2 linked regions of the Notamacropus eugenii genome follow. The main gene of each other region encodes a partner of the protein of the gene in region 2 in a complex. Links are inferred from orthologs where the notes say so. Each region holds a gene or a part of one and is shown on either strand. Other genes may lie near its edges.

Region 1 (7,521 bases), on a different chromosome or scaffold from region 2:
GCCTTGGTTTTGTAGAAAGAAGGAGAGTTTTGTCTTTAGGTTACTTCTGAGTCACAGAGGGGGAGCACCCCTGCCAGCTGACGGCTGCCACATCTATTGGTTTCTACTCCCTAGACCTTGTCTTTATCCCACCCACTGGCCCACCCTGGACAAACCCTCCCTGCCCCCATTAGTACCTGCAGTGCTAAACTTTGCTCTTCCGGTCTCCCCTCTCCCCGTTCCCTCCCATCGGGGACACCTTGTCTCTTCTGTCTCACAGGTCTGGGCTGTGACAAAACCCGAAACCGGGTGACCCTGCAAGAGTGGAATGACCCCCTGGACCCAGACCTGGAAGCGCAGCTCATCTATAGACACTTGTTGGGTGTCCAAGACACAATCCGGTGAGAAGGACATCTGTGATCTCCCTCCCTAGTCTTGTCCAGGAGGGTGTTGCCAGAGGAGGGTACCCTCCCAGAGTAGGGCACCTCCCCAGCAGCACGTCTCCTGACCACCTCTCCCTTTTCCTAGACCTGGTAGGCAGAGGGAACCCAAACTCTTGACTTCTTTGCCTTCCTGAGCCTCTTGTTTCTTTTCTGACCCAATTTAATTGATTTAACCAATATTCATGAAGTGTTTCCAATGAGCAAAGTCCTCTATTAGGTGCTGGGTCTTAGGGGACCCTTGGGTGAGATATTGGGAGGTGAGGGGATGAAGAAGGGAGAGGAGCAACTCAGAGCAAGTACCTAAGAAGCTTTGACCAGATGGCTCGGAAGGTCCTCCAGTTATCTGTGCCTCATTATGGCCATCCAAGGACAATGATTAGAAGTAAGGCCACCAGGATAGCTGTGCTAGACTGCTAGGCTTGAAAACAGGAAGAACCCGGTTCACATCTTTGCTTGATGTGTGACTATGAGGGAGTCTCTTAGCCTCTCTGGGCCTCAGTTTCCCCTCCTATAAAATGAAGATGTTGATCTTGGTAGCCTGGGAGATCTCTTCAGGTTCTGAATCTGTGGTCTGGTGCCCTCGGTTCTTGATACGATGACTGCGACTTATCTTTTCATGAAGAGAAGTGGCACAAGAGATGTGTTCCTCAGTTTCCTCACCTGTTGGATCCTCCTAGAGCTGAAATTTTAGATTCTAATTCTGTCATTCAGGGCTTTTCCCTTCCCTGGGAAAGTGATAGAAGTTGATGTTTCAGAGGGTCTGGGTCCTCATTCTTCCTTCAAAGTTTAGAAGAAATGATGGGTTTAAACAGGCTTCTTCATGAGAGCAGGGCAGGAGGTTCAGGATCCTATTCTCTCTCCCAGGTCAAGCTGTGAATCAGGACTCATGGGGGAAAGAATTGGATGCTTGGTAGGGTAAGATCAAACCGAGGTGGAAATGGTTTAACACCAAAGAGAGCATGGAGCTTGGCATAAGGTGCAGAGTGCTGGACCTGGGCATAAGGAGACCTGAGTCCAAATCCTACCTCTGACCCTTACTAGCTGTGAGACCCAGGGCAAAGTATGTAACCTTTCAGAGCCTTAGTTGCCTTATCTGTAAAATGGGGAAAATAGTATTACCTACCTCACAGGGTTCTGAGGATTTTTGTGGACTTAAAGTGTTAAATAAATGTTAGCTGCTCTTATCATTACTAATTTACTACTACTATTAATATGGATACTACTGAAGACACATATTAGGCAGTCATCCACAGATTCTCACAGGAGTAAGAGGGCAACCTTGGTCTAAAACTTGTCCCTTTTCCTTTCCCTCATCAGTGAAAAGTACCTGGAGCTGACTGCCCTGGGGGCTGCTGGGAATATCCCCAACATCCAAAGTGAAGGTAGGACCCTGACAGTCCCTCCCAAACCCCCCTCTTCTCATTCCAGAACAAGCTAACACAGTCCTTCCCAGGCCAAGGGAGGTAGTTTGATGAAGAATTCTGATTCTAGAGTCAGAGGACCTAGGTTCAGATCCCACTTGAGACATTTACCTAGGCCTCAGTTTCCTCATCTGTAAAATAATGGAATTGAACTAGATCTGAGGTCTCTTCTATGATTGTTTCTGTGGACAGATCACTTAAAGTTCCCTGGGCTTCTGTTATACCTTCTTTAAAATGGGGGGGGTGGGGTGGGGGTGGACAAACTGAACTCCCAGGTCCCTTCCAGCTCTGATCCTATGAAAGTCTGGCCCCATGGAAGGTCCTGAGGTCCTAGGACTCTGTGGTCCTTACCAGCCACTCTGGGGATGGTCTTTCCCCAGCACCTGAGGATGGTCCCACCCAGCTGTTCCAGGTACTCCGGGACCTAGAAGATGCCCACCGCTCTGGTCCTCTGACTACAGTAGACCAAGAGAAGAACTATCTCTTGGAGTTGCAGACGTGAGACTGAACTCTGCTTCCCTCAGGCCCAGGCCCTGCCTCGATGCCATCCATCCCACCCTCTGCCTCCTGCTGGGACTGTTTATTCCCAGGAACTCCCTGTCATGCTGGTGGCCTAGGAGCTCTGTGGTTTGGAGATCTGCCTGTGGCCTGGGTGAGCCCCTGGTCCCTGGCCCTGTCCTCACTTCTGCTCCAAAAATCAGCTTTTGGCTGCAAACCAACACCCCTTTCCCCATTTCCACGAGCACTTCAGGGGCCTGAGCCTTGTCCTGGGCTGCGCAGCAGCGCTGTTCCAACGTGTCAAGAGAGCAGCAGGAGGTTGAAAGCGCCCCTCGCTGGGGAGGGGAGCAGAGACATCCATGTGTTGGTTTCCTGGGATGGGTCACTGGGGCCCCAGGATCGGCAGTCCTGGGCCCTCCTTGTCCCCCATCCTTGGCTCGCTCTGGGTTACATCCTTGATTCTAACATTCCATGAGGTTCACAGTCAGGGAGCTGGGCGCTGGGGGAGACAAAGGGGTGCTGTGATGACTGATTTGGACTTGGTGGTTCTAAGGAGTCTCTGGAGTCTGTTCTTCCCTCTGCTGACCCCATGACCGGTGCCTCTGGTCTCCTAGCTGTTCTAGGGAGGAAGTGTGGAGAGCCATGGCCCCTGGGGAAGGCAGGTGGAGAAAGTAGAAGCTGTCACTTCTGCCCCCTTCCCCCCATCCCAGCATGAACACTGGGCCTCTGAGGCTCCTGGGGCTCCCTAGGGCCAGGACTCTGCATCCAGCTTCTTGATTCAGCCCCTGGGGTGGGAAGCCTCTGGCAGCGCCGCTTCCTCCTGTGCCAGCAGCCCCTCCCCTTCGCTGGGCATCACTGCAGATTACAATAAACTTTCCTTTACCCTTGTTGGGCTGGGGCTCTGGTCCTGTCTTTGGGGGGTGGGGAGGGGCACCGAGCATGTCTGGGGTCTGAGGGAAGGGGCACCTACTGTGTGCCAGGCACTTTCTACAAAGGTTATCTCACCTCACCCTCACAACAACCCTGGGAGGTAGTTGCCATTGTTATCATCCCCATTTTACAGACGAGGGAAACTGAGGCAAACAGGTTCCGTGACTGGCCCAGGGTCACACAGGGTCGGAAGCCTGACTTTCGTCCCGACTGCAGGCCCCGGGCACGCCCGCCCCGCCCCCCACCCCAGCGCTCCGCCCCTACCGCTGTGCGCCCCGCCCCGCCCCCACCGCTGCACGCCCCGCCCCCACCGCCTCTGGCAGTAGCCGGAGGCCTCCAGGGATTCCGAGGAGAGAGCACGCTGCGGGCGGCGCATCAGGGGAGTCTTCCTCCGGCTTGGGAGGGGCTCGCTCAGGCCCCTGGAGGCCCGCGTGGGGGAGGCTGCCACCTTGCGGAGGAAGCAGGGAAAGCAGGAGGAGGGGGCGCCGGAGGAGGAATGCTGGGACACCATCTAGCACTGGAAAGGCCGATTCCCACCCCTTAGTTTAACTGAGAAGGAAACTGAGGCACAGAGGGGGAGGGGATTTGCCCAAAATGAGGCAGCAGATCAGAGCCGGCGTCATCCGCTTCTACCAGCGTCCAAGACGGCGTCCGAGCCCGGGCGCTGGAGCCCCGTCGCCCCCTAGCGGGACGGGAAGAACACAACGCCGGACACGCACGCGCACACACGTCTACTAGTGTTGTCCCCTCCCCTCCCGTTGGCCGAGCGGCGCATGCGGCCATCTTCCTCTCCCCCCTCTGGCTCCGCCCCTTCCTTTTCTGTTCCCTCTAGCGGCGGAGTGCGTTACTTCCTGTTCCGCCGCGGTCGCGCATGCGTGAGCTCCATTCGGAGCCAGGCGTGCTCCGGAAGCGGAAGCTGGGTAGGCTGGGGAGTCCCCGAGCTAGCGGCGGCGGCAGAGAATGAACGCGCCTCCGGCCTTCGAGTCCTTCCTCCTCTTTGAGGGAGAGAAGAAGTGAGCGCGGCCGCGGGGCGGGAGGGCCGAGCGGGGCTGCCGCGGCACCCTCGGTAGGAGGGGCCTCAGCCTCCTCCGTGTGATGGGGGTAGACCTTTCCCCGGGCCTCAGTTTCCCCGCCTGTTCCCCCTCTCAGAACACGACGGCCCCTTTTTGGGAAGACGTCACGTGTGGTAGCGCCCCCATTGTACAGAGGAGGAAACTGAGGCCGGCAAGTGTCGGAGGCGGGAGCCGACCCCGGCTTTGTGCCAACTAGTGACCTAGGAAGCAGCAGGGGACGCTCGTCCTGGGGGGGGGGGGGGGGGGCCTGAGAAAGCGCCACAAAAACGCGACAAGGCGCTGTTTGGGCAAAGAACGGGCCGAGCTTCGGTCCTGGGTCCGCAGCGAACGCCTCCCCACGTGTGCCCCTCCAGAGCCGGGCGGGATCGGGTGGGCAGCCCGCGCCCTCACCGTGCCCCCTTCCTCCCCAGGATCACTATCAACAAGGACACCAAAGTGCCCAATGCCTGTTTGTTCACCATCAACAAGGAGGACCACACGCTGGGGAACATCATCAAGTCGTAAGTGCGGCGGGAGGGGGCGGTGCCCAGGCTCCCCCGGGCAGGAGGAGGTGCCAGGTCTACCCAGGTGACCCAGGCCTTGGGCTGGCGCCGCCATCCTCCTTTCCTGAACACTTCTGGATCTTAGGGTCGTGTGCCAGGGAAGAGCGGAGCCCTCTTCATGCTGAACCCCTGAATTCCCAGTTCAGAACTTCTCTCCTTATTCCAGAATTCTGCTTGCTCACTCAGTAAACCCAGACAAGTTCTCCAAACCCGGTCCTGCAGCTTCCGAAGCAGAGATTACACGGCCCTGGAGCGTTTTCTGCTTTGTTTAATTTATTCACATAAAACAAAAACGTTTCACTCGTCTGGTAAGAATTCGTCTTCTCAGCTGTACTCAGAAGCAGAGCATCTTTGCTGCTCATCTCCCTGCCCGCCTTTAGGTCCCTTCTGTCCTCTGCACTTAGACCAGGGAACTCTGGGGAAAGGGGGAAAGGTGAAGCTAAACCTCCTTTCATCCGTTGTAAGCGTTAACCTTGAATTGCTCAGTACGAAAAGGGAGGAGTTTAGGAGACTTCAGTTAGGTTGGGAGAGCGTTACCTGGCACCCAGACTAGCATAAGTCAGTCTTATACTTAGTGTTAACTTGGGCTGCCAGATTGATCTTCCCCAGATATTGTTTATTCCGTTTCCCTGCTCAGACACCTTCAGTAGCTCCCTGGTTCCTATTGAATAAAACTCCTAGGTGGCATTGGAGGCCCTTTTGTTTTTCGGTGGTTTTGTCAGTTGTGTCCAACTCTTTGTGAGTGTTTGGGGTTTTCTTGGTAAAAGTACTGACTGCAGTGGCTTGCCATTTCATTCTCCACCTCATTTGATAGAAGAGAAAACTGAGGCAAATATGGTTAAGTGACTCGCCCAGAGTCACTCAATAAGTGTCAGACACCAAATTTGGACCCAGGAAGATGAGTCTTTTGGTCCAGGGCTCTGCCCACTGTGCCACCTAGCCACCAGGTCTGATCCGTAGGCTACATTTAAAATAATTTCTTGTTGACAGCTTTTGTTTGTATGTAACCTCTATTTCTCTCAGACTAAAGTAACATATCAAAAAAGTCTGGCCTTTTATGCAACATTCTGCATCTATGGTCTCCCTCCTCTGCAAAGAAATGGATTTTTGGGAGGGGCCAAGCTTGGTTATTACAGTATTACAGCATTAGTTTTCTCTTATTTTGTTCTTTCTCTACACAGTGTTGTAATCGTGTATTCTGTTTGCCTGGTTCTGCTGGCTTCACTTTGCATCAGTCCATTTGGATCTTCCCATACTTCTTATTTTCATCATGTTACTGTCTTATAGCAGAAGCACTAATTCACTTCTCTTTATGAATCAGTTTATTTAGCCATTTCCCCATCAATAGGTCTCTCTCTTGTTTCTCGTTCACTAGTGCACCTTAGCTGCCCTTTTAGGCTTATTTCCCTCCTCATCATGTTGAAACCCTTTGCAGCAGTCAGGCCAATTTCCTCAAGATCCCCTCTCGGTGTTGTGTGTATTCACCTGCCTCTGACTTTGCCTCATTCAGCTTGCCTGGTATGTCTTCCCACCCCTCCTCCACATCCTCTCTGTGTCCTCTTAGATCCGATACTTGTAGATCTTTCCTGGGCACCGACAGGGAATATTAAATGCCTTTCTATTCCCCACAGCATTGCCACATCCTATGCCTTGCACACAGTTGGTAACTCACTTAAATTTTACACTAAGTCATATTGCTTACTGGCCAAGTACATGACTATCATTCCACTTTGGTCATATTCAGAAGTTTAAAATCAAGAAATATTTGTTAAGGTCTTTATATAGAGTATTGTGGTAGATAGCCGGAGAGTTAGAAGGATTCGTTAAAAAACATATCCTGCTCTTGTGAAGACTGTGGAGAGTCTAGCAGTGTCTCAGATGCCCAGATCACTTTAATGCTGTAGAATACATAAATCCTTTAGAAAGCTGCAGACCAGCGCTGTCAGGTCTGACTCACATCATCACAGCATGAGGAGGTCAGAGAGTCTAGGGGAGGCGGTATTTGGATTGGGCTTTAGAGGAGGAAGAGGAATTCATCTGGCAAAGAAGGAGATGGAAGAGAAAGTACTCCAGGTTTTGGGGACCCAGGCAGGAAGGGAGATGTGTTCTGGGAGCCAAGTGGGGCTGAGAGGAGTGAGATAAGGGTCAGGACTCTTGGAATGGCATGAAGGCGGGGTCTGCAAGTTTGAGCTTGGCTCTCAGTGAACAGACAGGAAGGGGATGAGTGTTTCTTGGCTACTGCATTCTGAGCTGTGTTGCCTTCCTCCACTTTGTCAGTGAATTCATTTTTTCCTCCATGAAATATCCAAGAGGCAGCAGTATAATGTAGTGGACAGAGAGCTGGCTTCGACACCAGGAAGATCTGGATTCAAGTCCCACCTTTGACTCTGAGCTAGTCGGTGGCAGAGATGGGGCTGGCTTGTGTTGGCGAAGGGAATTTGCTCACCTGGGAGTTCTCTAAAAGCCCAGCCGCAAAGTGCTACTGTGGGGGAAAACATGTTTGTTGTGGGTAAAGAGCCTGGCCTCCTGAAGACTGGGAAAGGTCTTTTTTGCTGACAAAAAACTCACTTCATTATTTAAGGCTGTACCACAAACACTGTGCCTTGTCACCCTATAAAACATCTGCTCCCCAAAC
Region 2 (8,618 bases):
GTTAATAAGAAAATTTTAGCTTACAGACCTAGGCATTTATAGACACCTTGGAAACAACTTTAAATTTTAAAGTACTACAGTACAAAATTTCTTCAGTACTATCATAAGCTTTGTTCTGATACATACTATTCAATGAACCTATTCGGGGGGGGAGGGGGGGGGCCCACACACCTCTGTCCTGCTCTCTGATTTAATTGTATCTTATGCTACCTATATGACTTAGTACCTTACACTTACAAATGCCATAAAATAATTGTATTTTCATAAAGCATATGCATATGAAATAATTTGGCTGCCTTAGTTCATATGCCAAAGAGGTTTTTAAAATATCAGTGTTCAGGTACTCCAGAGATCATTTAGAATAACAATCATTTCTAAAGACATTTTCTAGTCAATTTGAATGAAAGCAACAAAACACACGGCTTCAGGCAACCATAGATATATCCTAATTTAGGAAAACAGGATATTTAAAACCAAACTGTACAACTGGATAAATTATAGGGGGAACATTTCCATTACCAAATAATTTACTACAGGAGGGAGGCAGCTGTACTGGACCTTAGAGACTATGTGGTCCAACTATCTTTTTTAAGTGATGAAGACAGGGCTTAGTTGTAGTTATACTAAGTAGCAAAGATGTGATTTGAAAAAACATCATCTTGTCTCCAAATCCAGTTCCCAAGCCCGGAATCCATCCAACTCCTGTTAGTAATGCAACGTTGAACTTCAGTTACCTCATCAATAAAACAGTATAAATATTTATACTTCCTGACAGAACTGTCATAAGGATCAAATGAAATAATACATGTAGCCATGTAATCATCAACTATTATTACAGAGCTCCTCTTAATCAGTTCCCCTAATAGGAATAATTGGTTCTACTTGACAAAAATTCTATATACACAGTTGTTGGTACACTCATCTATTACATATAGCAACAAATACCTATGTGGTCCATGTACATCTAAGGGTAGTGGTGATGACAGGTTCTGTAATTCCATATCTACACACTTAGTACCCTATATACAAACACAATGCAAAAAAAAATAGAAATTGCTTGTGTAACAAGGATAATGTTAATATCTATCAATTCAGCATTCTGTTAGCCTGCTACCTTTTTTTTTTAAATACAGTGTTTGCACTCCAAAGCACCTCTTCATTCACAATGAAAATACTATTTTCCCTGAAGAAAAAGCATGGAAGGGAAATTACATTTAACATTTACTATAGTATTCCACATTTCACAAGTATGATTTTGACGTTTTTACAATTTTAAAATTTTCAATAAACAGGTTTTTCTAAATATGTTTTGAAGTCATCTGTAAGCAAAAAATGCTTGGAAAAAAAAACCTCAACCCTGGACAGCTTGTCCTATATTTTCCGTATAAGTTACAACAAATGTGGCTTATTTTCCACTTCCAAATACTTTGGAAAAACTTGGGGTACTAGGAAGGAAGGCCTCATTTTTTTTCCTTCTTGAAAAAAATACCCCAAAGCCGTCCAGAGAAGACCACAGCCTCCTCGTTCAAAAAGCAGCCAGAGCAAGTGCCTGCAGCAGGAGCCGGCGTCGACGAGCAAGGCAGAGCTGGACCCCAGAGCTGCACAACTCAAGTGCCAGAAGAGGCCACCCAGAACCAAGCAGGCGAGCACGAATCCTCCCTCACGCGGAGCATGCACCTCCCAGCCTCGCGCTCCGCAGCTCTCACTATTTAAAGCCTGATCTGGGGTTTAAATGGAGAGCCGGTGACGTAGGGCTGAAAAGCACCTTCCCATCCTGGCAGAGTCTATATTAGAGAGCGCAATGGCTCTATATAAACAGGGCAGCCAAAGGGAGGAGGACCACAAGGAGCAGGGACTCAAAAGCAGGGGAAGCTGCAGCAGCCATGATGGATCGATCTCTCTCTGAGAGTGGCAAACAAGGGGCCGAGTCTCCACGGTACGGTCCTGGGCACAGAGGGTTTGCTGGCCGCATTTGGGGAGGGGGATGGCATTTTTTATTGTTATTAGTCTTATAATAAAGGAGAGTCGGGTGGATCGAGGATCACATGGCACTGGTGACTGCAAAGGTTATTTATGTGACTGCTTTTTGCAAACCTATGTGACTGCAAGTAACAAAAAAAATAAAAGGACCCGGGGACGGGTGGGGGAGACGAGGCGGCATTTCAGGCGGAGGGGTGCCTTGGTCAATGTCATTTTTTTCCTCTTGCTAGTCGAAGGTATGACGGGATTTTGTTTCCCCTTCGCCATTTTAACGATTCTAAAGGAGATGGGACAAGTGCTTTTCAACCTTCTTTTTCCAACGTAAAATGGCCCCATCCAGCTCCAAAGAAATCAACCACCACAAAACTCAAGGGTCGCCTCACACTTCGCGCTAGTCCAAGGCATCCTCGTTAAAAAAAAAAAGGAAAGAAAAAAGAAAAAAATAAAGAAAAGAAACCTCCCCCACCCCCAGCACACTGGATCGGGGCGGGGTCTGGAAGATTAATCTTCTTCCCGAGCCCCGGATTTCTCCCCCTCCATGGGGCCAGCGCGGGCTTCGGGGACTCCGTCTCCCCGTCCGAGACGCGGCCATAGCTGTCGGCTGCCCCGCAGGATCCAGCTCCTCTCTAAACTCCTCCCCCCCAAACAAAACCAACTCCGCTTCCACCGAGACCATCTTAGGGCGGTTTTCTGGGGGGAAGGGGGCGGAAGGAGAGGGTCTCTGCCCCGTCCCCTCCCCTTTCTCAAGTTTTCAGCCTCTTCTTTCGCCCGAGTGGAGACTAACCTGGGGAGAGCCCTCCTGACACCCTGAAAGCGCGGCTGAGAGCCCTCCGCTTGGACCCTCGTCTCCCCCGCTTCTCCCCCCTCCTCCTGCACCCCCCTCCATGAGCCCCCCGTTCTGGCCTCCACCCCACCCCCCTCCCCCCGCCCTCGGCCCAGGTCTCCCCTTCGGCGGGAAGAGGTGGCGGCGGCGGCGACAGCGAGAGGAGGCTGAGGGTGGGGGCGGGGAAGGGGGAAAAGAGTTGATCCCGGCTCCGGCTCCCGGGCCCGGGCCCCGGGCCCCCAGCCCGCGCCCGCCCCCGCCGCCGCCGCCGGTCACCGAGTCACATCCTTACCACGGGGTTTGTATTTGCCGAGTTCGCCATTTCCACACACAACACAACAACAAAAAAAATTTAAAAAAAGAAATAAAAACAAAAAGAAAAGAGACCCCGACTGTAACCAGATCACCGAGATTTAAAAAAAAAAAAAAAAGAAAAACGAAACCGAGTCCCGAAGGTGGAGTAGGGGGAAGGGGGGGGCGGTGAGGGGGGGAGGGAGTCCTCCGGGAGCTGAGATCCTCGAGAATCGCCCTTAAAAAAATTGTGACCCTTCGGGGGTCCCGGGGAGCGTTCCCCGCCCCCCGCCCGGGGCAAAGGAGCGAAACCGCCACCGGTCGCCGCCCCCCGCGCTGCCGCTACCGCCGCCGCCGCACGGGCTGCAGCCACCAGCCGTCTTCTCCGCCCGCTTCTCTCCTTTATATAGTGAGCCAACGAGCTGCGCGAGCCACCACCGTCGAGAGACAGGGGCAGGAGGAAGGGGAGGGGAGGGAAGGGGGAGGAGGGAAGGAGCGGAGTGGGAGGGGAAGGAGGAGTAAGGAGGGGGGGGTAGGCGGCGCGAGACAACGCGAGAGCGGCCGGGCGCACGCACGCGTGGGGGCGCGCGAGACTGCCAAAGGGACTCTCACGGTGCGAAGGTGAGGCCCTCCCCGCCAGGCTGCGGAGCTGGGAAATGGACCGACTTACTCCCGCCCCCCCCACTCCCAATCGCCTCTCGTGCCGGGGTCACGTGGTTTTGCCTCCGCCGTGACCCAGGCGGAAGTTTCTTTTCGTGTCTCTGACTTTGGAAAGATAAGAGTTAAAAAAAAACCAAAAAAACCCGATTAAACCGGCCGAAGGGAAAGGCGGGAGCTTCAATCGAGCAGCTCGCGAGTCTCGGACCGGCCGCCCGTTCTTCCCTCCCCAGGGGCGCGCCCTCTCAGCTCGGCGGAATTTCAGAAGTGGCGCTCACTTCAAGCCCGGTTAGCTCCGGCCTTGGGGTAGGCCGGGGATGAACGGGTCACGTGACTCTCCTGTCCCAGCGAGCCGGGCGCTGGCTTAAGTTTCGATCTGCGGAGTCATCACTCCCCGAGCCGAGGGACACCTGGGACGAGCTCCTCCTGCCGCTTCTCGGCCGCAGCCGCCGGGTCGCGCTGCTCGGGAAGCCAGCCCTCCGGCGTTCGCGCCTGAAAGCCTCTGCCGCCCGCGGCTCCGGCGAAGGGAACGGGGTGCGGGGTTCTGTGCGCTTATGCACGCGTCATTTTTAAATGGGGGGAGGGGCCTCTTGGTGGGCACGTGCGTGCTTGTCCCGACTCGGTTATCCGACGCTGCCGAAGTCCTGTTGTAGAAACGGTAGATTGACACTTGGTATCCGCCTTGACCGACTGGAGTATTTCCAGGATTTACACCCCAAATCATTTCAGTTCGTGAGCAACCCCGACTCCTTCCCCAGCCGCAGTTCGAGAACTGCTCAACATGGCAGGACTGGGTCGCCCCAAGTGCGCCTCCCTGGAGCCCTCTCCCCACGTGTCTCCTCTTATTGTAAGGGGGGTCTTTGCCGGGTTGTTCTGTAATTCGTCCAGGTCGCACCGTGCGTGGCGCACAGCGAGTGCTTCTAAGATGCTTTGGCATTCAGAGCTCTCCACCACCCCCCTTTCCACCCCCCAAGAAGTACCCCAAACACTGCGATTCAGGGGCACGGGCGCTGCGGCGCCCTCAAACAATGCGCTCCATCTCCCGGGAGTGGAACGTTGGCCGGAATTCAGCCCCTCGCCATTCTTGCCTTATACAACAAGTCTCTCCCTGATGCCCCTTCATCACGCAGCTTGTTTGTGCGAGGCTGGCCGGGATCTGGACAGCAGGGGGTCTTCTCTCTGTCCTCGCATTCCTGCGCTTAGCTGGCCCACAGCAGGCACTTCATGCGTGTGTGTTGTCATCGCGTACTGCCTCCTGCACCGGCGTTCTTACCAGGTTGCGGTTTAAATCCTCTACAGCTGTACGCTATTTACCTTTATTTAAGACAGCAGTGACGTTAAGTAAAAATCCTAGATTCTCCGAAGACAGAAACAGTGGCGAGGGTAGAAGCACAACAGCCTGACTCTTCCCTTGTACCCCAAACTGAGAAGTCACAGCCCCCATGGATCCAGAATGGAAATCACCAGAAAGCCAGCAAACTCAAATTTTTCTTCATAATTCTATGCAATGATACCATATTATTAATCATCATTATGTGTGCCTATGAATCATACAGTTAGCATATCTAAGGAATTGGGGGAAGGATCCTATTTGGCACTGGGCAAGGCTGAAATGACATTTTTGTAGAAATGATACCAAGTTCAAATGAATCAGCAAGAGCAGTCTTAAAAGGAAAAAAATCACGAAATGTGGGCTCTGAAGGGGAAAACACAGAAAGAAAGAGGAGAAATGAAGGTTATGAACTTAAGGTTTTGTACTAGACTCAGGTTACCAAGCCACTTCACTCTTATCACTCTCCAGATGCCTCCCCTGAGTCACTACCTACCTCACTCATCACAAGGCTGCACCACGTAGAAGCAGAACTCCCTAAAAGGAGGAGTCCTATCTGTCATCTAGGAATAGTTGAGCGTGTTTTATTGTGTTCTGATCTCAGCTAATCAGGGTAGCAAATTATCCAGAACAACATTTTTATCCACTTCATGACCATAGCACTCAGAAGTGGAAGGAACCTTAAGAGATCTGGTGCAATGAGGTGAGGAAAATGAAACCATGAAGAGGTTAAGTGACTTTCCCAGGGTCACAAAGTAATAAAAAGAGCTAGGATTGGGATCCAAGTTCATTGCTTTCCACAACACACCACAGATTCAGAGTGTATAACAAGTTTAAAGATCATTTGGTAGACAATACATCTAGGATTCTTATCCCAGTGAGGTTAAATCAGTTTTAGGTGTTGGGTTAGTCAGGAAGACCTGAGTGTGAATCCTGTCTCAAATTCTTACTTTGTGGTTGAGTTGTCTTACTCTTCATGATCCCATTTGAGGTTTTCTTGGCAAAGATATTGGAGTGGTTTTCCATTTACTTCTCTAGCTCATTTTACAAATGAGGAACTGAGGCAAACAGAGTTAAATGACTTGCCCAGGGTCACACAGGTAGTAGGTGGCTGAGGCCAGATTTGAACTCAAGAAGATGAATCTTCCTGATTCCCAGCCCAGCCACTGTGCTATCTAGCTGTCCCTCAGACATTCACTAGCTGTGTGTAAAGTCACTGAATCTCTCCGGTCTCATTTCCTTATTTGCAAAATGAGGGGTTTGGACTCAACGAACTCTGAGGTCCCTTCCAGCTCTAAATCTGTGATCTTAAGGGCCATTGCCCTTATCATTGTCTTGACTTTTGTCTTGTCACTGGACTCCAATGACTTTGAAGGAGAAAGCAAGGCTAAGGACTACAGCCCTGCCTCAAATACAGTCCATGAGTAAGTCAAGACATCACCTTCATGGTGTCATTGGTTCTCTTAAAGAAGGAAGAATCAACAACAATTTCAACAATTCTGTGACCTTAAGATAACTGGGGAGGTTGGGAGAGTAGGACAAAGAAAGATAAGCAACTTGAGGAGGAGACTAAAAATTCAACAGGTACAGGGATACCTGAGGACAGATCCCCGTATTTGTATATGGTACTTTAAAACATTGTTAAAATTATTTGTCGATACTTGAGTTATCTGGAGAAGAGGTACTATAAAACCTAATAAGTAAATAGGTACAACCAAATTTCCTTCAACTGAATTGAAATGACAGTGCAATTCCTTTCTATTGAATGAAATTTAAATATACTCCTCAATCACTTCTGCAAGCATTTATAGAAGGCCTAGTAGTATATATTCAGCACTGTATTAAGAGGACCTTAAATTGACTACATATTTGAACGTTTTAAGGTTTAAGGTTTTAATCGTGTTCATCCTTCATCGCCAAAGAAGACCATGCCATCAGAGAAATGATAACATGACTTACACTTGACTTTGTTTTCAGTGAGGGAGGGCTGTGCAGGTCACCAGCCTCACTTCTCCTCCAGAGCCATCTGAATCCAGTGACCAGATATTCATCAGGATGACTGGAGATGACCCAGGATGCACTGGGAGACCTTGGGCCCTTTAGGCCAAGGTCTTTGCAGGTATTCACTTAGGGTGAGGCAATACCCATTCATTGAATAGACCTGTTTAAGAAATAGTTAGGGCATGGCCCCTTTGGATAGCCAAAAGATATCCAGTTAACTTATTTTACTAGCCCCTTCCCCTCCCTTCCCTTCCCTTCCCTTCCCTTCACTTCCTCCTATTCTGTCCTGTCCTATTCTGTCCTGTCCTTTCCCGAAACATTAAGCCTATTGTACTCTGAAACCGGGGTGCCTGAAATCTAGATCACCCCATTTGATTCTGATGCCTTGACTAGGTGCAAATACTTTTTTACTGTCAGTACTTCTACTCCCACTACTACTACTACTACTACTACTACTACTACTACTACTACTACTACTACTCCCACTACTATTACTACTACTACTACTACTACTACTACTCCCACTACTACTACTACTACTACTACTACTACTACTACTTTTCTTCCTTCACGTAATAATGATAATAATAGCAATTAACTTTCTATAACACTTTAAAGGTTCACAAAGCACTTTTCAAATATCTCATTTTATCCTCATAGCAACCCTGAGAGATACTAGTATTATACAGTAGAACCTCATTTTACGAATTTAATTCATTCTGAGATTCTGTTCATCATGTGATTTGTTCATATTGCAAAGCAAATTTTCCCATAGGCAATAATGTTAAAGTTGGATGATCACATCCCCAAAAATATTCATATAAAATAATTATTTATAATTTTAAGTAAGTTTTTTGTCCCTAATGTGCCTGAAATACAATAGCAATGATTAGTAAACAATATAAACTGAAAATAAAATAAATTAACCGGCACTTTACCTTTGAGAAGAGTTGTGACTGGGGTGAGGGAGACAAGAGGGAGGAGAAGGAGGAGGAAGGATTATTGCTTGGAAAGAGAATCTCCTATGAGAACATGGAGGATTTCAACATTGGGAGGGTTCTCTTTTATGCTACTGTCACTAAACATAAGACTAACACTACTGCCTTCACTTATTTTTTGTTTTTTAGAATCACTTTCATGTTTTGACTCACTTTTTTTCTTTACATTTGCTTCTCACTAGCAATCTATCTAATGATACTTGTTTTTGATGTTTTTTCAGAATATCACAGAAATGTGACATTGCATTATTGTTAAAAATATTCGTAGCTCTCATTGTTACAGCCTTGTTTGGGTGTTGTTTTTCAACAAAATTTTGCACTTTTGCAAAAAAAACCCAAAAAACAAAAAACCCACTGCCCTAGTTGAGCGTCATCCCTTCACAAGCCATTGAAGTCCAAACATGATGTTCATACTGCGAATTTTTGTTTGTCCTGCAAGACAAATTTTGTGAAAAATTTTTCCTTGTCCAGCAAAGCATATGTAAACCAGGTTACTCTTAAACTAAGATTCTCCTGTATACCCATTTACAGAAGAGTA

What was found.
Region 1: GTF2A1 (region 2) and POLR2J share a complex: the UniProt entries of both Homo sapiens proteins name them as parts of the TBP-based Pol II pre-initiation complex. The link is inferred for Notamacropus eugenii from reciprocal best matches to the Homo sapiens genes GTF2A1 and POLR2J.

Annotation. Positions count from the first base shown.
Region 1 is NC_092873.1:51,623,944-51,631,464, forward strand, and holds the start of POLR2J (DNA-directed RNA polymerase II subunit RPB11-a), read left to right. Parts: upstream 1-4,077; 5' UTR 4,078-4,231; coding exon 4,232-4,284; intron 4,285-4,754; coding exon 4,755-4,844; intron 4,845-7,521. Other genes in the region: ras GTPase-activating protein 4-like, read left to right, coding at 260-380, 1,740-1,804, 2,368-2,816. UniProt on the Homo sapiens protein: Core component of RNA polymerase II (Pol II), a DNA-dependent RNA polymerase which synthesizes mRNA precursors and many functional non-coding RNAs using the four ribonucleoside triphosphates as substrates.
Region 2 is NC_092878.1:65,973,653-65,982,270, forward strand, and holds the start of GTF2A1 (transcription initiation factor IIA subunit 1), read right to left. Parts: upstream 3,580-8,618; 5' UTR 3,126-3,579; coding exon 3,096-3,125; intron 2,455-3,095; exon of another isoform or gene 2,211-2,454; intron 1,937-2,210; exon of another isoform or gene 1,818-1,936; intron 1-1,817. UniProt on the Homo sapiens protein: TFIIA is a component of the transcription machinery of RNA polymerase II and plays an important role in transcriptional activation. TFIIA in a complex with TBP mediates transcriptional activity.